Linked DNA regions of Xenopus tropicalis. The protein of the gene in region 2 interacts with the protein of the main gene of each other region in a pairwise test. Links are inferred from orthologs where the notes say so. Each region holds a gene or a part of one and is shown on either strand. Other genes may lie near its edges.

Region 1 (5,878 bases), on a different chromosome or scaffold from region 2:
TCGTTTTAGCCACACACACTGGGAACCATTTCCCTAAAGGCAGCACAGCTCTGCTCTACAGTTCCCATCATACCACATACATTTAACCCATAACAAGTCAACTTCATTTAAAACAAGCTTACAGATTAGAAAAGGCCCTTTAAAGTATGGTTGAATAATTAATAATCAAATTGCTTATAGTTTCAAGCCAGAGAAGACCATGTCATAAATAGCATAGTGAATCATGGGCTACTGCTCTTCCCCATGTGTAAATAAAAAGCCAAAACAGCATTCTATCCAATCAGAAAACTGCTGTCTATTCAACAGCACAGGACATATAAGCAAAAATAACTGGTAAAGACATTAAATCATTCCCCTTGTAATGAGAGGGATTCACTGCATAAACTTGCAGAATGCATGTCATGTTTATTTGTATTATAGTTCCACAGTTTTATATTCCCAAACCCTTCAATTGCCAGAGATGTAACCATTATTATAAGCTATGAGCTGATTCTATCCAATGATAAAGGCATGTGGATAAAAGATTTGATACTGTGGTCACAAACATATCCAACATTCACACCCACTAATGCAAATAATGATAACATGCTATATCATCATACTGCAAACACCTGTATGTAAGAGACCTTTCAGCCTGTTAGCAAGTGTTCATGTGTACAATCCATGGAATGGTCAGCCCCTGCCTATGTTGTGTAACTTGTAGCCTGTATTTAAGGGGACTTGATTGATCAGGGAACACTAACATGTTATTCAGGATGGGCAGAGTTTGTGGCTGCTGTCTCAGTGCTAATTATACAAATAAAACATGCACCAAAATAAAAATGAAGCTTGTAAGAGTAATAAGTGTTCCAAGGCTGGGCAGAGCCACGTGTGTGTTCCAACTTTAATTAGTCAGCTGCGTGCATCTCTCTACATGGCATTTAGAGTCTGACAAATCCACTGGGTGCATTTCAAACCTGGCTGTTAAATGATACAGTTCACACAGAAAATGTTCCCCTGTGCGGACGACCAATTTTCAGCCAACCAGATCATTTTACATATTATTTCCAAACACAATAAGCACAAAGCAGTCACCTGTTTTAATATAAGCATTTGTTTCAGTTGCTCCTGCATAAATAGTCAGCATGGCCAAACCTGTTTAGCTGGGGATAAGGAGGCAGTGACAGCAAGCAGTGTGTCCCATTTTGCAAACACCCTTTCCTGTATCCCATAAAGGGAACTCAGAGATCCTAGGGCTGATTCACTAAAGGTTGATAAGTTTTATCGCATGCTTTTTTTAGTTAAAATTGACGCAGAAAAAAAAGCGCGATTCTCTAAAGTATTAACACATGCGTTAAATTGCATATCGCATGCGTTAAATTTTGCACTACCGTGCGCCGAAATAACACTAACACATGATTCACAAACACTTAGACGAGCTAAATATCGCATTTGTCTGTGCGAAAATTAACACCTACTTGAGGCAGGCGGTAATTATAGAAAAGTACAGTTAATGAGCTTTTGGCAATAAAATATGGACTTTGCAGTTGGGTTTATTCAAGTCTGTGTTGCCCCTAGAGTGATGCAGCCGCCAGTTTGCAGGGAAATGGGCATTTTCAGTACAGTAATTTTCCGAAAGTAATGGCATGTATGGCTAACATGGCGTGCGTTTTCTTGCACACGGCGATTATTTGTACGCGGTGCGTTGATTAGCACATGTTCCGTCAAATACCGCACGATAATAGTCTTCATGACTAAAATAACGCAAGCAGCATCGCGTGTAAATTAACACAAGTATGCTTTTAGTGAATCCTGCGCTAATTCGTGAAAAATTAGACGCAATAAAATTTTTAACGCACACTATAAATAAAGCACGTTTTATCGACCTTTAGTGAATCAACCCTCCTGTATCCTATAAAGTGAACCCTGATCCTGTATCCCATAAAGAGAACACTGACACCCTATGAGATCCTGTATCCCATAAAGGGAACTGATCCCGTATCCCATAAAGAGAACACTGACACCCTATGAGATCCTGTATCCCATAAAGAGAACACTGACACCCTATGAGATCCTGTATCCCATAAAGAGAACACTGACACCCTATGAGATCCTGTATCCCATAAAGAGAACACTGAGATCCTGTATCCCATAAAGAGAACACTGACACCCTATGAGATCCTGTATCCCATAAAGAGAACACTGACACCCTATGAGATCCTGTATCCCATAAAGGGAACTGATCCCGTATCCCATAAAGAGAACACTGACACCCTATGAGATCCTGTATCCCATAAAGAGAACACTGACACCTTATGAGATCCTGTATCCCATAAAGGGAACTGATCCCGTATCCCATAAAGAGAACACTGACACCCTATGAGATCCTGTATCCCATAAAGAGAACACTGACACCCTATGAGATCCTGTATCCCATAAAGAGAACACTGACACCTTATGAGATCCTGTATCCCATAAAGGGAACTGATCCCGTATCCCATAAAGAGAACACTGACACCCTATGAGATCCTGTATCCCATAAAGAGAACACTGACACCCTATGAGATCCTGTATCCCATAAAGAGAACACTGACACCCTATGAGATCCTGTATCCCATAAAGAGAACACTGAGATCCTGTATCCCATAAAGAGAACACTGACACCCTATGAGATCCTGTATCCCATAAAGAGAACACTGACACCCTATGAGATCCTGTATCCCATAAAGAGAACACTGACACCCTATGAGATCCCATAAAGGGAACCGATCCTGTATCCCATAAAGGGACCTGATCCTGTATCCCATAAAGGGAACACTGACACCCTATGAGATCCCATAAAGGGAACACTGACACCCTATGAGATCCCATAAAGGGAACCGATCCTGTATCCCATAAAGGGACCTGATCCTGTATCCCATAAAGGGAACACTGACACCCTATGAGATCCCATAAAGGGAACTCGGAGACGCCGCTGAGCGCAATAACAGACGCAGATACTGAGCCCCTTGCAGGAACTGTCCGGCACTTGTGGTGCTGAAAGGACCAACAGCCCAATGAGAGCAGCGAGTTGCCAAGGAGCGATCCCAAACACGCCGAGAGGGTTTTAACCTTGGGACGTTGTGCCCAGTGACCGACACAACTAAATCGCAGCTACTGCGTATCTCTTGGTGCTCCGTGCAGAGTGACTGCTACAGAAGTGCCGCGATCTATTTATTCATACTGTGGAGCTCGTCTCCAGACTCCAGGGTCATTTCTAGGATAACTAGAAGCATCACTAGCATCACTTCGATTCTCATTTGCCTCCCCCTAGGGAGAAATGTGTAGGACTGTATGGGGAGCTGCTCCATAGAGAGCTCCGGGATACTGCTGCTCCATAGAGAGCTATACGGGATGCTGCTGCTCCATAGAGAGCTACGGGATGCTGCTGCTCCATAGAGAGCTCCGGGATACTGCTGCTCCATAGAGAGCTATACGGGATGCTGCTGCTCCATAGAGAGCTACGGGATGCTGCTGCTCCATAGAGAGCTACGGGATGCTGCTGCTCCATAGAGAGCTATACGGGATGCTGCTGCTCCATAGAGAGCTATACGGGATGCTGCTGCTCCATAGAGAGCTATACGGGATGCTGCTGCCGCTGCCCCTGCTTGTGCTCTGTCCCAAACAATGGTTCCCCATACGGGCAGGGAACTTACCTCAAGGAGCTGTGTGCCTGCTGCCCCGATCCAGATCTGCCTCTCTTCTGCGATGTGTTTCCCGGCACAAGCCGAATACATCCAAGCCCCTTTAGTATCCTATGTGCCGGCTGCTGCCTGAGCCCTCCTTGCACTGTCACAGGGCTCCGAGCTGATGGGATTGATTCTCACAAGGTGAGCTGCCTGTACAGCATGTGTGTGTGTGTGTGTGTGAGTGTGTGTGTGTGTGAGTGTGTCTGTGTCTATAGTAGGAATGACACTACTCTGCTGTACCCTCTGCCATACACAAACACACAGGCTGTAGCTCTGAGGGCTCCACTACTGTAACTCTGAGCTACTGCATCTCACTCACATCCCTTTTGTAGGTTGGAACCTACAGCTGGGCCCCTAGCAATGTACAAGTCCTCTTCTACTTACTCACTGCTGTCCCCCCCTCATTTAGGTGGCAAATGGGGACATCCTGATTAAGATAAAATTACACTCAGATACACTCAGTGCCTTATTATTAGCAGCTTCCTACATAGCATGCACTACTTATATTATGAACAGCAATACTTTGACTATATATAAATATTTTTCTAGATTTTATCTAAATAAAAAATAAATACATTTGTGTTTTTTTCAGCTCTGTCACTGATGCACTGATGTGCAATATATGTAGCATCCTAAAGTAAATACCTACTGCAGATGGATCATTTAAGGTTATCAGATATTGTTGCTGGTTGTGGGACATGACCATTTCAGTTTTTTGGAAGATGTTCCATATGTTCCATTCTGGCATAAGCATTGATAACAGTTTTTTATTTTTAAAAAAAAATTATATTTCTATGATTTAAAGAATTGTCAAACAAATATGTAAATACAACAACATTAACGGTTTATTACTCCTAGTAATGGTGTTCACCCTTTGGACTTCTTTCTACATAAATATATATATATATATATATATATATATATATATATATATATATATATATATATATATATATATATATATACATCGCGAGAGAGAGTGTATGTGTGTATATGTATGTAACTACTTGCAAATGTACAGAGAAGGATTCAGGGCAGTGGTTGGGGGAGGCTGTAGGTCAGGAAGCACAGAGGCTGAGCCAGGATGCAGGATGCAGTGCCAGTTTCCACCAGCAGATGGTTTTGCATTGCTGATCCATTTGCCTCATTCAGTATAAGCTCTATGTAGGCAACATAATGGCAAAAAAACATTCAGCCCATGCTTTATTAACTTCAGGTGTCAGCAAAATTATTTTTAGGGGGTCTGAGCAGGACTAATTCCAGACACACACACACACACACTGGCCCCTAGTAATGTACCAGTTGTAGGTAGGAAAAGTGTAAGAAGCTCAATGTCACGTCATTGTATATTCACCTCTGGCAGCTCAGGGAGAAAAGCAACACTAGTAACTGAGTAATTGCAGTAGGGATAACTTTCTCTGACAACTGACTACACTTTATAGGGCTCATTTACGTCTGCAAGTGCAGCGAGCAAAGTGCAATTTCAATTGTAATTGCCATGTTTTCTTTCCATACTGCAATGTTTTCCCCAACAGAATTCCAGTGTCATTGTGATATGCCTAATGCAGTTTGATCCAATTTGCCTAAGTTAACGCAAACTGCTTGTACATTTTGTTGCAGTTCAGATGCAACTGAGTGGAAGATGCCTATGTCATTTCTGGTGTTCAGCATGCAAGTAGCATCTCCACCTGATTCTTTAGGTGAAAGTGGACCTATTGATGCTGGGTGTGAAGGGAACCCTGAAGCTACTGCCTGGTCAGGAGGTGGCGGTAGATACAGGGTCCCCTGCGTCAATAGGCACAGTAGCGCCCAATTCAGAACAGAAAGTATAAGGGACTGAGTGGCGGAGAGCACATTTTGATGCAAGTAACTTTAAGTGGATTCTGTCATGATTTTTATGGTTTACCTTTTATTTCTAAATTACACTGTTTACATAGCAAATAATTCACTCTAACATTTAAAATTTTATTCTTGAACCAACAATTATGGATTTGTTTTGTAAAGAGACCACCAACTCCATCTTACATTTCTGTAGCCATCATGTCAATAATGTTAAGCTATTGGTTCCCATAGGGACATTTTTTAAAATTTGCAGAAACTGTTTGAAGAAAGAAATATTTGGGCAGTGAGCACAAAGTTAAAAACTCAAAAGAGAGGTTATTACAATGTCA
Region 2 (5,926 bases):
ATATAAATTATAGTAGACTTTCTGAAGTAAACACACAACTTTTACCAGTGCAGGGCAGCAGCACATTATATTTTAGTTAATTTTATACACTTTCATTTTTTGGTGTTACTGTTCCTTTAATATACATACATAAGCACAACCAGCTTAAGGCCACAATCAGCTATTTTAAGGGATTCTGGCCCAACAGGTTGGTTAGATGGCTGAATAGCTGGATCATCATAACTGTATGTTAAACATATTTTCTCAAAAGTCATAAGCGCAGGGGTTCACTATTAGCACATAAATATCACTGTTTACTTATGAATGTGAAATATAAAATATATACAGATAGACTGCTCTTGGCTGTGCAAACAAACTTTTATGTGCCTCAAGTGTGGACATCAATAAAGCGAGTTATGAACTTTTCCTGCACATGTGAATAAAGCAATGATTAAAGCAGAAAATTGTCCTGGACTTACTCTTTAAAACCTATGCACAGTTCTAGTTTACCTAGTCCACAAAGATCTGATTCTTCTGTCTATATTTGGTTTCCAGATGTCATATACATGTAATTATTAAGTACCAATTCTAGAAAATACAAACTGGGCCAATCAAATGACATAGTCATGCAGCTTTAATCTAAAAAGTGCACAGTAAGGCAATCAGTTTCATTATATCAGTGGTGGAAGCAAAACAAAAGTATTATAGAATTTGTAAGTTATAAACAACTGATAAAATTATACATGATTATAAATTATGCTGTTTGTAACTTTCAGGCAACAGGAAGAATGCAATTTGTTGGCTTCACCAAGATATAACCTGCACAGAATCTGGAGTTTCCTGGATAAGGTTCTTCCATAATTTGGATCACCATACCTTTGGTCTGCTACAAAGTCATACCAAAAATAATTTAAATGTTAAATAAACATTTAAATAAACAGTAAATGAACGTTCAGGCAACAGGTAATTGGCTGGCTTCACCAAGATATAGATTTAGAATGGAAACTCTCTTGCTTGCTTAGCTCAGTGAGACTGCCTGCCAACTGTGTGTATGAATCACTAATTGTAGAACTGCCAGTACAATGTTCTTTTAAGCATGCATACAGGTGCACTGCCTAGTTTAGTGTGCACTGGCATTCCCATATCTTCATGAGCAGATCAGGATTAAATACCTTTCCTTCATCTAACAACCAATTTACAACCTTGCTGCTATAAGAGCAGCTCCAAATCTGAAATCAATATAAACTCTCAGGTCTCTGCACACCAAGTTAACACTGGAAGCATGTACTCAGAATGTTATGCCTTTATACCTGTGTCCCCAGGTGACATCTGAGGGACAGATTGGGCTGGGAAGGCCATTACAAAAATGCCCCAAGGAGTTCACTGCCTGACTATCCAGGTAAAGGGTCCACAGCGAGTGAGGCAATAGGTGCCAAATGCATGGACTGCAGTTTCCCACCATCAGCATTGTTTTGGCTTCTGATTAGAATGACTGTAAAGCGGCATTATACATAACTGTGCATATCTTTATGTGTAGGGATATTCACCAGACTGGATAATACTCCACTCTCTTTGGCGAAACCATAGATCAGTGACCAACAACAAATGGCAGGAAATCACTACTGCATTCCATACAAATCTTCTAACCTGAATGTCTATTTACTGACTGCTAATGTTATGGTGACAGCCAGTGTATCCACCAAGTGCAGCTACACCAAGCAAAGAACAGCCTGAAAATGTAGGCTTTTGCATTTCTCAGTCTGATTTACACTCCGTAGCTACACTGCCCATCAGTGCAGCTACAAGGAGCTGTGGAAACACTGTCAGAGAACAGTGGATGATCTGCTGGGATAATGCATATATATTTTACATGCTTAGAATATACATATTCATCCAAGCAATTTTTGGTTTTAAGAAGAACATAACAGGGAAATAAATGACTAACTTGTAATATGCTGTTACCTGGGATGTACAATACTTGTTTATATACTGCATAAGTCCTGAACTAAGTACACATTATTAAAGTGGAAATATGCCCAAAAAAAAAACAAACAGCTTTTTGTATAACTATATTTTGAGGCAACTTTCCAATATTAAATTTTTTTCTGCGTTTGTAAAGTATTTTCTATTTCAGTTTATATTCTTTCCTCTGCTGGACACCTGAAATAATTCAACAGAAAGTAGTTGATTAAAAGACCTGGAAAACAGACTTCTGCTACATTGTTCAAGAGTCAGAACTAGGCTACACAAAGGACTTAACAAATACTACTTTTAACCAAGATTAAAAAAAGCTTAGGGTGAAAACACAATGAGTTACTAAGTAGCAGCTACTTGTCATGGCTAGTAAATGCCAGAAAATACTCTGCCATAGACAATACTGAGAATTGCCTCTGCTAAACCACACGTAGAGACATGTATCGGTAAATAATCAGCATTGTCTATTGTTGTAGCCGTGACAAGTAACAGCTATTAGCTCCATGTGTCTTCACCCTTATAAACAACAGAAAACTATAAGGGTGAAGACACACAGACCTACTAGTAGCAGCCACTTGTCATGGCTACAGAAACAGACAATGCTGATCATTTACATTTACATGTATTAGCCATGACTAGTAGCTGCTACTAAGTTGCTCCATGTGTCTTCACCCTAATGGCAAGTTTCTAACAATGACTTCTTCATTTATTAATATGTTTTGGGGTGGAACTGCTTTTTATTAACTCAAGTCTATATATCTTTTGGCAAGCGGCCTCATGCATTTGTACAGGTCAGGGCAACTAATGCAGCCCACCTGCTGAAGCACAACTCCAGCTGGCATTGATATGCTCCATGTATTGGCTATAGGATGGCTACTTGGGTATCCCTGTCTAGTTTATTTAAGTGGGGGCTCATGATACACATCTATATGGTAAACTGCAATGGGGCTCGCTGTCAGATGATACTGGGAGTAGTAGTTTAGTATAAATAATGTGTGAATTTGGGCATCCCATACTCATGGCCATACAGATGTCAGGCAGCTAGATGAAATGATCCAGTCACAGCTAGCACAGCTGTACAGAGGCAATGGGCTTTCCATGCCATACATACAGCTCACAGAGCCTTTATTGGAAGCACATTGCAGCCAATGTTTACAATGCAGTGCTACCTGTGCACAAACACTAGCAGCTCTGCACTTGGCTCGGAGAGGATGCTGGGATATCCGGTAGAAGAGGAGCTACAGGATGATAGGTTGGATGTCACAGCTAGTGACACTTATAGCCCGCCTCCTGTATTTACACTGCCATCCATATGTGGCCCCCGGGGATTTGCCCACAAGTATCCTATGAGTCTCACCGGGAAGGCTCGGATCCTCATCTTGGTATCCTTCCGGCTGCCGGTGCTTTTCCCTAGGTTCGACATGTTGGCGGCTGTTCGCTCACACTCGGCCCCGGGGCCCCTCCTTGTCTCCCCCCGGCGGGTGTAGGTGTGAGGAGGCCCCGGGCCCGGCCTGTCAGCGACCCGGCGGGAGCTCCTTTACGGCAGTCTGGTCTCCCTTCAATGCGGCCCCCGGGGCTGCAGGGGGGTCTAAAACTATACGAACGCCCTAACACCCAGCGCTGACTAAACTCCTCCGCGATGGCGGACAAACATCCCTTTCCCAGCAAGGCCGGCGAGGGGAGGAGCCTGGGAATGGGGTGTGTGTCGCGAGAGTTCAAACAAGCCCCGCCCTTCCATACCCAGCCCCGCCCCTTCCATTCATTTCCTCCCACCCCCGGTCGGAGCGCTGTCACTAAGCCGCAGCCCTACCTCGTCTCAATAAACTTTATTACATCGCGCATACATTGCTGCGCAGGCTCCGGCGACAGCGACGTAATCCGTGGAACGTTGACAAGTGACGTCATGTGACGCTCTGAGCGCAGTTCGTACGTGGAGGCTGACGCGTTCCGTATATATACAAAACGCCTGTCGTCACTTATGCTTCTTTAGGTGGTAATGCGTATATAGACACTAATGTGTACCGTCTGGAACCCGGGAACCCTAGCCATACAACGAATTTGTCACACCTACCGTAGGTGTATGGATAGGGTTACTAAGTAGCTTCAAGTAAACATGCAATATTAAAGAAATAGATTGATTTTGACTTAATTAACGTTAGTTTGGCTAGACTCATGTTAAGATGCCCACTCTCCCAAGAAACAGAAATTCCAAAACATTGTATAAAAGCATTTCCAATATAATGTACTGTTGCCCTGCACTGGTACAACTGGTGTGTTTGCCCCAGAAACACTGCTATAGTTTATATAAGGAATGCAGCTGTGTAGCCATGGGGGCAGCCATTCAAAGCAGAAAAGGCACAGGTTACTTAGCAGATAACAGATAAACCCCCATTATATTCTACACAGCTTATCTGCTATGTAACCGGTGCGTTTTCTTTCTTTTATCAGCTTGAACGTCTGCCCCCGTGGTTACACAGCAGCTTATTTATATAAACTATAGTAGTGTTACTGTAGCAAACACCAGTTTTACAACTGCAGGGCAACAGTACATTATATTTATGTTAAAAAACTTTTAATTTTTTTGGTGTTACTGTTCCTTTAATATAATAATACTCATAATATAATAATTTGTCACTATAGTGCACCATCATGAAAATAATTAAGGCCATCCAGTTTTTGTGGGACCTTGTTATTAAGCTAAGGGGGGCAGCCTAAAGACCAGAGAGTAAAATCCGGGGTGAGTGTTTAATTGATCTGGAGCTTTAGCAGGGTGATTATTAACCCAATGCTTGTACATTTCTGTTATATAACCTTGTTATGGTGTTTGGAAGCCAAGCCTGAAGGCAAGTAAGAGTGAGATGTGGGTTTAATGTTTATTTGCCTCTTTTAATAGACTTGTAACTAAAACAGGGAAGCTGTTAGACCATGAAGAACTGCCTGCTGGTTGTGGAACTGTATACAATGGAAATGTCTCTTTAAAGGCTTGGGGGGCATAAGATATTTAGCACACCTTTCTCCTGTGTAAATGACTGAAGTCATTGAGGTGAGAGTTTAATCAACTCTTTTCTGGCATTTCCTGCGTTGCACTCCAAACAGTAAATTGATAACAAAAGATCCACTGACACACCATGGATTCTCTGAAAACAGCAAAGTATACCTAAAAAGCAATAAACAGGCTACAAATGCTGCTTTATGTTTTGGGTTTCTCCACCAACCATAGACCACCCCAGCCCATTAGCTGTAAAGATCTGTAAATACAAAGATGCCCCCAGTAGCTTCATGTAGGTGTGGTTTGCACCCCTTGGTCTCCTTGCACTTGTGTAAATGGCCATTTTTATATTTGTGTAGGTGTGTACTGCAGACATGTCAAATCACCTGTATTTTTCAGGAGTCATCCAGATTTATGCCCCCTTATCCAGTCACCCACAGTAACAGGTTCATCACCAACTGTAAATTGCACCCAAATTTTAACTCACCAGCAGTATTGAAATTTATAAAATCATCACCCAGTGTGCTCCACTGTTGTCCGAACTAGGGAACGTGGCGGAGGGTGGGGCCAGGGCAGAAGAGGGGCAAGGCCAAGATGTACCTGGAACACTTTGGGTATAGGTTTGGAATCTCTGGTCCTAGAGCAGTAAAAAGCAGTTCAAAGACACCAGAAAAGCTTACTTAAACATGAGAATTTATTGTAGAAGGTTTGTGAAACAGCGATGGTCACTGCCACTACAATGGTCACCATGACAATACTGGCTGGAAGAGCAATTATTTTTGTACCTTGGATTTCCTTTTTACATGTCCTGTCATAATGGAAATGCAGCATATGGTAAGGTTACAAGATCATATGAAAAATCATGAAGAGGGCTTCACTGATTGTAGTTAATACATCTGCAGCTTCCAATCATTGCCTTCCAACAATTTCAATTCATTAGTTAACCCTGATTTTCCAGGTGATCTGTAAACCATAGATGATGGG
Region 3 (6,133 bases), on a different chromosome or scaffold from region 2:
CTTCGTACAGGAGCCCGCTCATTAAATCCACTTCTGGAGTTGACCTGCAGACCAGAAACACTGTGCCGATTCCTCCTTTTAGCAGGAAAAACTGAATAAAGGGAATAAAAGGTTTCAGTGAATAAGGTGTTTCTTATAAATATAAAAGGTCACTGGTAACAGTAAACATTTGTAAGATTTGCTAGTTTGGCAAAAGCCAACCAATTGCATTGCAATGAAGGGGAAAGGAAAAGTTGGAGCGAGGACTGCGCCAGTGAGTCAATGCAGTCCCTGATCCAACGAAAAATTAAGCCTGCCCAATTATTAGGGAGGCTTGCTGGAGGGCCCCATCCACAGGCAGATAAGCTGCAGAGTCAGTCTTAAGGACCCAAATTGGCAGCTAAAATCTGCCAGTGTATGGCCACCTTAAGGTAGTTCTGACAATCTGCCTTCAGTTAATCAATATAACATAACTTACTTGGTGCATGCAAGTATCCATTGAACAAGACACTGCCACAAGAGGAGCGTTCCAACTCCTCACACAGCTGCAAACGCCTGACTGAGAATGGGAAATATATAGTTAATAACGAGTACCACTAAATGGCAAAGTAAAGTGAAAGAGTAACCTAGAATTACCTAGTGGAGTAATGCCATAAAATTCTGCTTCATGCAGCAGGACAGAACTTTTCACACCTCTAGAAAGAATATGAATAAAAGACAAGTGAGGAAAAAGGGGATGTAATCCCACTAACACACTAGATAAAAGCCTGTAGAATTCCAACCTGTTATCAAGTTCTTTGGTGCGGAGAAAGTTTAATATTGGACCAAAGACTGTAGGGTCTCGATCTATGAAAATCTGAAATGGCATTTGTAACAGAGGAGATTAAAATTGACAACCATATTCAAAAAAAAAAATAAAAAAAGCTTTACTTCCAAACTTTGTATTCATTGTGCATGGTGTCCCTATAAAACACACTACTAGATAGAGTAACTGTTTGAAGCAAATATTACAATAGATCTAGTTATATAGATGAATTTTGTTAAAAGTGCAATGAGAAAGAAAATACATAAATAAAACTCACAGCCCCAGTTTCATCTTTCAAAGTAGGGATGCGACCACTCAGGAGGCTGGAGGAATAAAAAAAGACAATATTTTGCTTTTCATTTGTATTTTGTCAGTAATGCAGTAAATCTGCTTTCAAATTGTTACATTTCTTTGACATTCTACATGGTTGACTGTGATGTAAAGGATTTTGAACTTTCTAAAAGGATGTCCATTTTGTTCCTTCAGATATGTGTTGATTATGGCACAAGAAAAAGACAACTTTTTTGAGCTTTGACACTTATCCCAAACTTTAAGAATGTATGCCTCTTGGCTTTAGGCTCCACAGAGCCATGAGTCCCTATCTGTACTGCCTATATTATAACTAGACACTTGTCATTACTTAGCTGAATAACTGCTTTTATCTTTCCTTAAATGAGCCAACCCATTTCAAAGGATTCTATCCTAAAGCATCTGCTCCATTATTTAGATAACACCCTTACTAAGAATATCAACACTTCGTTTTCTATGGGTATATAGGTAAGTGCTAGCTTCAAATAGGGCCATGATGGAAATTCATAACCCAAAGCTAAGGTATTGAGTCAAATGCTTGACACCCTCTCCCCTTTAACAAGTTTTACATTAATTATTCTTTAACTGTGTGAAAGTTGAACTGTATTCCTGTACAATCAATAAATTGCTTAAAAACTATTTTTCTTCATCTTTCAACAATTTTATACTGACCTTGAAAAGAAAGATTCAGATGCCCACGTCAGGGTCCGTCTGGAGGTACTGAACCTACAATTAAAAAATGTATGATTGCCATAAGACCTGTGACACAGAATTAAACATTCAAAGTATGTGCAATTCCCATTTCTAAAAGTGTTATCATATGGCTGCCATTCATTAATTCCATTTAAAATAAAGAATATTTATTCTCAAGTTCACTTAGATTCATACTGTTGGCCAGTTTGTTACATACTTAAACCACACACACATACAACAAGCGCGCACTAAATTCAACCCCTCCACCCTCAATGTATATGCATAATTATATATACATAAACCTATACAGACCTACAGATACACTTAAATATATAATGACACCTACACCTGTAGCCTTGGATAGATCTTGTTCAGTTCCTCAAATTTAAAGGGGTGGCCTTTAGTACTTTTTTTTTTCTTCCCCCAACAGAAAAGATCAAAAGATCCCCTGCTATCTGTCTATGCCATTTAATGTATTTGTAAAGAGCATTCATGTCCCCTCCAGAAAAAAAAACCAATCCCAACTCAACAGGGGCACATTTATCAAAGTACGACAGGTACGAAATACAAAACATTTGTATTTGGTTGTACTGTGCATATTTTCTGCTACTTTTTCGTACTTTGTGTGACTTTTTCGTACATTTGCAACAAAATCGTATTTTCGCGCCGAGTACAAAATTTTCTGATTCATTCAAGCTTCGGTATCGTGACTTTCCTTGGCCCAGGTTCGAGCTTCAGAGTGTCATTCATTCCTATGGGAGGCTTCCAAAATCATGCACAGAAGGATCAAAGTCAGAAAGGTTTTCCCACCCATATTATCGTGACTATTCTGATTTTTTCGTAAGCATTTTCGTGATATTTGCGATCATCAGAAATTATTGTATCTGAATTTTTCCCATTTCGGGATTGAAACGCGTACTTTGATGAATGTCCCCCTCAGTGTCATCAATAGTTTAACTCTTCCATTCCTGTTTAGATACATGTCTCTGCACACTTTCAGGCTCATTAAAAGTGACCTCCATCCTCTTGTCTCTTGTCCCTTGTATTTAAATGTACCTTGTATTTATTTGTATTTCTTGTTAAACTTTGTATTTATCTATTATTTTAATAACCCCCTGTTGTATTAATCTATTCTAGTGCACAGCTTGGCTTAGATAAGTAGCACTTTATAAAAAGATTTACATCCATACAGCCACACTAAGGCAGACTTTCCTCACACCTCTAATGACACGTTCTCTCCCACACACGCCCCATCACTGCACCAGAAAGGGATACACAAATAGCAAGGAACATGCCACCTAAGAGCACCTAATTACACACCGGCAACCAGGCACTGATTCACAGTACCCACCCCATCCTATACAATGCGTGAAGCACACTACAACTGAGTATGCAAACAGGATGCCACTCAATAACACTCTCCCGTCCATAAGTTCTCCTCACAACATTGAACACAATCCGCTTATCATTTAGCGTTACAAACGCATGCGTACTAGCTAATAACTCACCTCTTTCCCCCCACATTGAGGTGTATCACATCCCCACTGCAGCCCTCAAGCCCTTCCATGCCCGGCTATCCCTTTCTCTCCTCACTAGGCAGCCATGCTTCCGGCAACACCGGACACTTCGCCCGAGTGACGTTCCCTCAGCTCATTGGCTCACAAGTTCAGCAGATTAATCCTGCCCCTTCCTTTTTTTCATTCGCCTTTGTGTCTGCTCCGTTCCTTATCGTTTACTTTGTATAGCTATTGATTTTTATTCGCGTCCATCGTCTGTCTGTGCTAAGCACACAAGGTAAAGTGCAGTCCAGACGTCGAATTAATACCGAAAAAAAGCTTCACAAAATGAGGCGTCGGAAAGAATTTTATAGCGCGCTGTCCTTTTCCAGAAGTATATAACAATTAGCAAAAGAAAACGGTTTTTAAGCTTTTCCACCTGCACCCCTAGCACTGAACGGCCCGGAGATGGATTAAAGGGTTAAAGGAGGGGCTTGGGTTCATTAGACCCTCACAGCATGCTCGTATTTTAAATCACGGCGCACCTTTTGCTAAGCCCCTCCCAGCTGGGGGTCTTTGCTTCGTGACTACCCTGCCAACACTGGGTATGTCGGTGGTGTTAAACTTTCAACCCTTTGTGTCCCCAGTATTGTTCTCTCTACACATACACTAATGTTGAGACCAGTGCACAAGCACTGCACACATGGTTTTAAAAAGTGTAAACTTTTGTTTTTAACGCAGAGCCAAGTAGTAGTTAGAGGGAACATAGGGCAGGCCCTCTAGTCTTCAGTTACCTTTGCTTCTGCTTTCTCCGCATTCAGTAATTAATCAGGACCCAGAGCTATCTGTAGAATAAATATAATAAACAATATAATGTTTTACTTCATTTCACAAATATTCTCTTGCATACCTAATAACTGAAATATATAATATTAGCTATATCATCGAATTTACTAGTGAATGCCTAGTCATATCCTAAACCAGTGCTGTCCAACTGGCGGCCCGCGACCCCCCTCTGTGTGGCCCCCCACCTGTCTGGCTGCTTTGATGGCTTACCTTTGTGTAAGCATTAAATGGTATCAGTACTGGGATTAACTGGCCCCCTGCATGGTTCTCACCTCAGAGTCAGGCTGTAATCCCCCTGTATTGTTTAAAAATGTAATCCCCTGTATTTTTCACACCTTTTAACTCTTTTACTGCCAAGCACGTATGGCATACGTGCTGGCAGTAAAAGGGCTTAAACGCCAACGACGTGTCTCATACGTCGTTGGCGTTTAAGCGCTGCCCTCTGCAGCGGCGGCATGTACACACACTTACAGCACACATTTTAGCATTTTTTTATTTTATTTTTTTTTTTTTTTTTCATTTTTCACACTTTTATACACTTATTTACACTCATATACACACTTACACACTATCACACAACTTTTACACATGTACACACATGTATACACAAACACTTTGGTTTTTTTTTGTTTTGCTTTTTTTTTTTTTTTTTTTTCATTTTACCACTTTGTTTTTATTTTCTTTTACCTAAAAACTGTTTATTTTGACAGCGTAACTATTGGATCAGATATTCTGGCCACTAATTACACTGTCATGTAACTTATTTTGTTGTTTCACTGATTTGCACAATTTTTGTGGTTTTATCACATTTTATCCCTATATAAGTGTTCCTGATCTGTTTTTAGCGTAGCTTTGCCAGGTGTAACTTTGGTGTACAAAAATAACTTTACCTATTTTGAATTCATCAGAATGTGTACTTTCCAAAAATATATGGTTTTCTGGGGGTCACTGTATAGTTAGGGGGGGGTTACTGCACATAATACACTGACAGGGGGCTCTGTGTGCAAAAGCTGAGCTGGCAGGCGAGAAATCCTTATGCGCTATTTTCATTTAGGGTTCAGTACATACCGCAGACTTTGGTATATCTATGCATATTGGGCATCAATCTGTTCAGTAGACCTCTGGTGTTCCTATTTGGGGTGACTTGCCTTTGTACGCAAGAAATTGTGTGAGATAAATGCGGCAAATTGCAACATTTTTAGGCGATTTTCTGAAATCTCATAAAAACCGATAACTTTAGGAAAGCTTTGCGGCTTGGTACTTTGGTGTAGAAAGGACTCTTTACCCTTGTTGGATTTGTCAGAATGTGTACTTTCCAAAAATATATGGTTTTGTGGGGGTCTCTGTATAGTTAGGGGAAGTTTTGGCACATAATACACTGACAGGGGGCTCTGTGTGCAAAAGCTGAGCTGGCAGGTGAGAAATCCTTATGCGCTATTTTCATTTAGGGTTCGGTACATACTGCAGACTTTGGTATATCTATGCATATTGGGCATCAAACTGTTCAGTAGGCCTCTGGTGTTCCTATTTGGGGTGACTTGCCTTTGTACGCAAGAAATTGTGTGAGATAAATGCGACAAATTGCAACATTTTTAGGCAATTTTCTGAAATGTCATAAAAACCAATAACTTTAGGAAAGCTCTGCAGATTGGTACTTTGGTGTAGAAAGGACTCTTTACCCTTGTTGGATTTGTCAGAATGTGTACTTTCCAAAAATATATGGTTTTGTGGGGGATCTGTATAGTTAGGGGAAGTTTTGGCACATAATACACTGACAGGGGGCTCTGTGTGCAAAAGCTGAGCTGGCAGGCGAGAAATCCTTATGCGCTATTTTCATTTAGGGTTCAGTACATACCGCAGACTTTGGTATATCTATGCATATTGGGCATCAAACTGTTCAGTAGGCCTCTGGTGTTCCTATTGGGGGTGATTTGCCTTTGTACGCAAGAAATTGTGTGAGATAAATGTGACAAATTGCAACATTTTTAGGCAATTTTCTGAAATG

The links. The genes of interacting proteins can lie anywhere in the genome.
Region 1: the proteins of cul3 (region 2) and zmat4 interact in binary tests that used the Homo sapiens proteins (3 or more experiments, as listed by UniProt). The two-hybrid records come from large-scale screens. The link is inferred for Xenopus tropicalis from reciprocal best matches to the Homo sapiens genes CUL3 and ZMAT4.
Region 3: the proteins of cul3 (region 2) and shkbp1 interact in binary tests that used the Homo sapiens proteins (3 or more experiments, as listed by UniProt). The link is inferred for Xenopus tropicalis from reciprocal best matches to the Homo sapiens genes CUL3 and SHKBP1.

Annotation. Positions count from the first base shown.
Region 1 is NC_030683.2:33,355,092-33,360,969, reverse strand, and holds the start of zmat4 (zinc finger matrin-type protein 4), read right to left. Parts: upstream 3,768-5,878; 5' UTR 3,756-3,767; coding exon 3,675-3,755; intron 1-3,674.
Region 2 is NC_030681.2:123,778,840-123,784,765, reverse strand, and holds the start of cul3 (cullin-3), read right to left. Parts: upstream 3,561-5,926; 5' UTR 3,377-3,560; coding exon 3,311-3,376; intron 1-3,310. UniProt on the Homo sapiens protein: Core component of multiple cullin-RING-based BCR (BTB-CUL3-RBX1) E3 ubiquitin-protein ligase complexes which mediate the ubiquitination and subsequent proteasomal degradation of target proteins.
Region 3 is NC_030684.2:78,043,920-78,050,052, forward strand, and holds the start of shkbp1 (SH3KBP1-binding protein 1), read right to left. Parts: upstream 3,768-6,133; 5' UTR 3,354-3,767; coding exon 3,295-3,353; intron 3,215-3,294; exon of another isoform or gene 3,143-3,214; coding exon of another isoform or gene 3,138-3,142; intron 1,820-3,137; coding exon 1,766-1,819; intron 1,108-1,765; coding exon 1,062-1,107; intron 836-1,061; coding exon 762-835; intron 675-761; coding exon 616-674; intron 539-615; coding exon 458-538; intron 92-457; coding exon 1-91.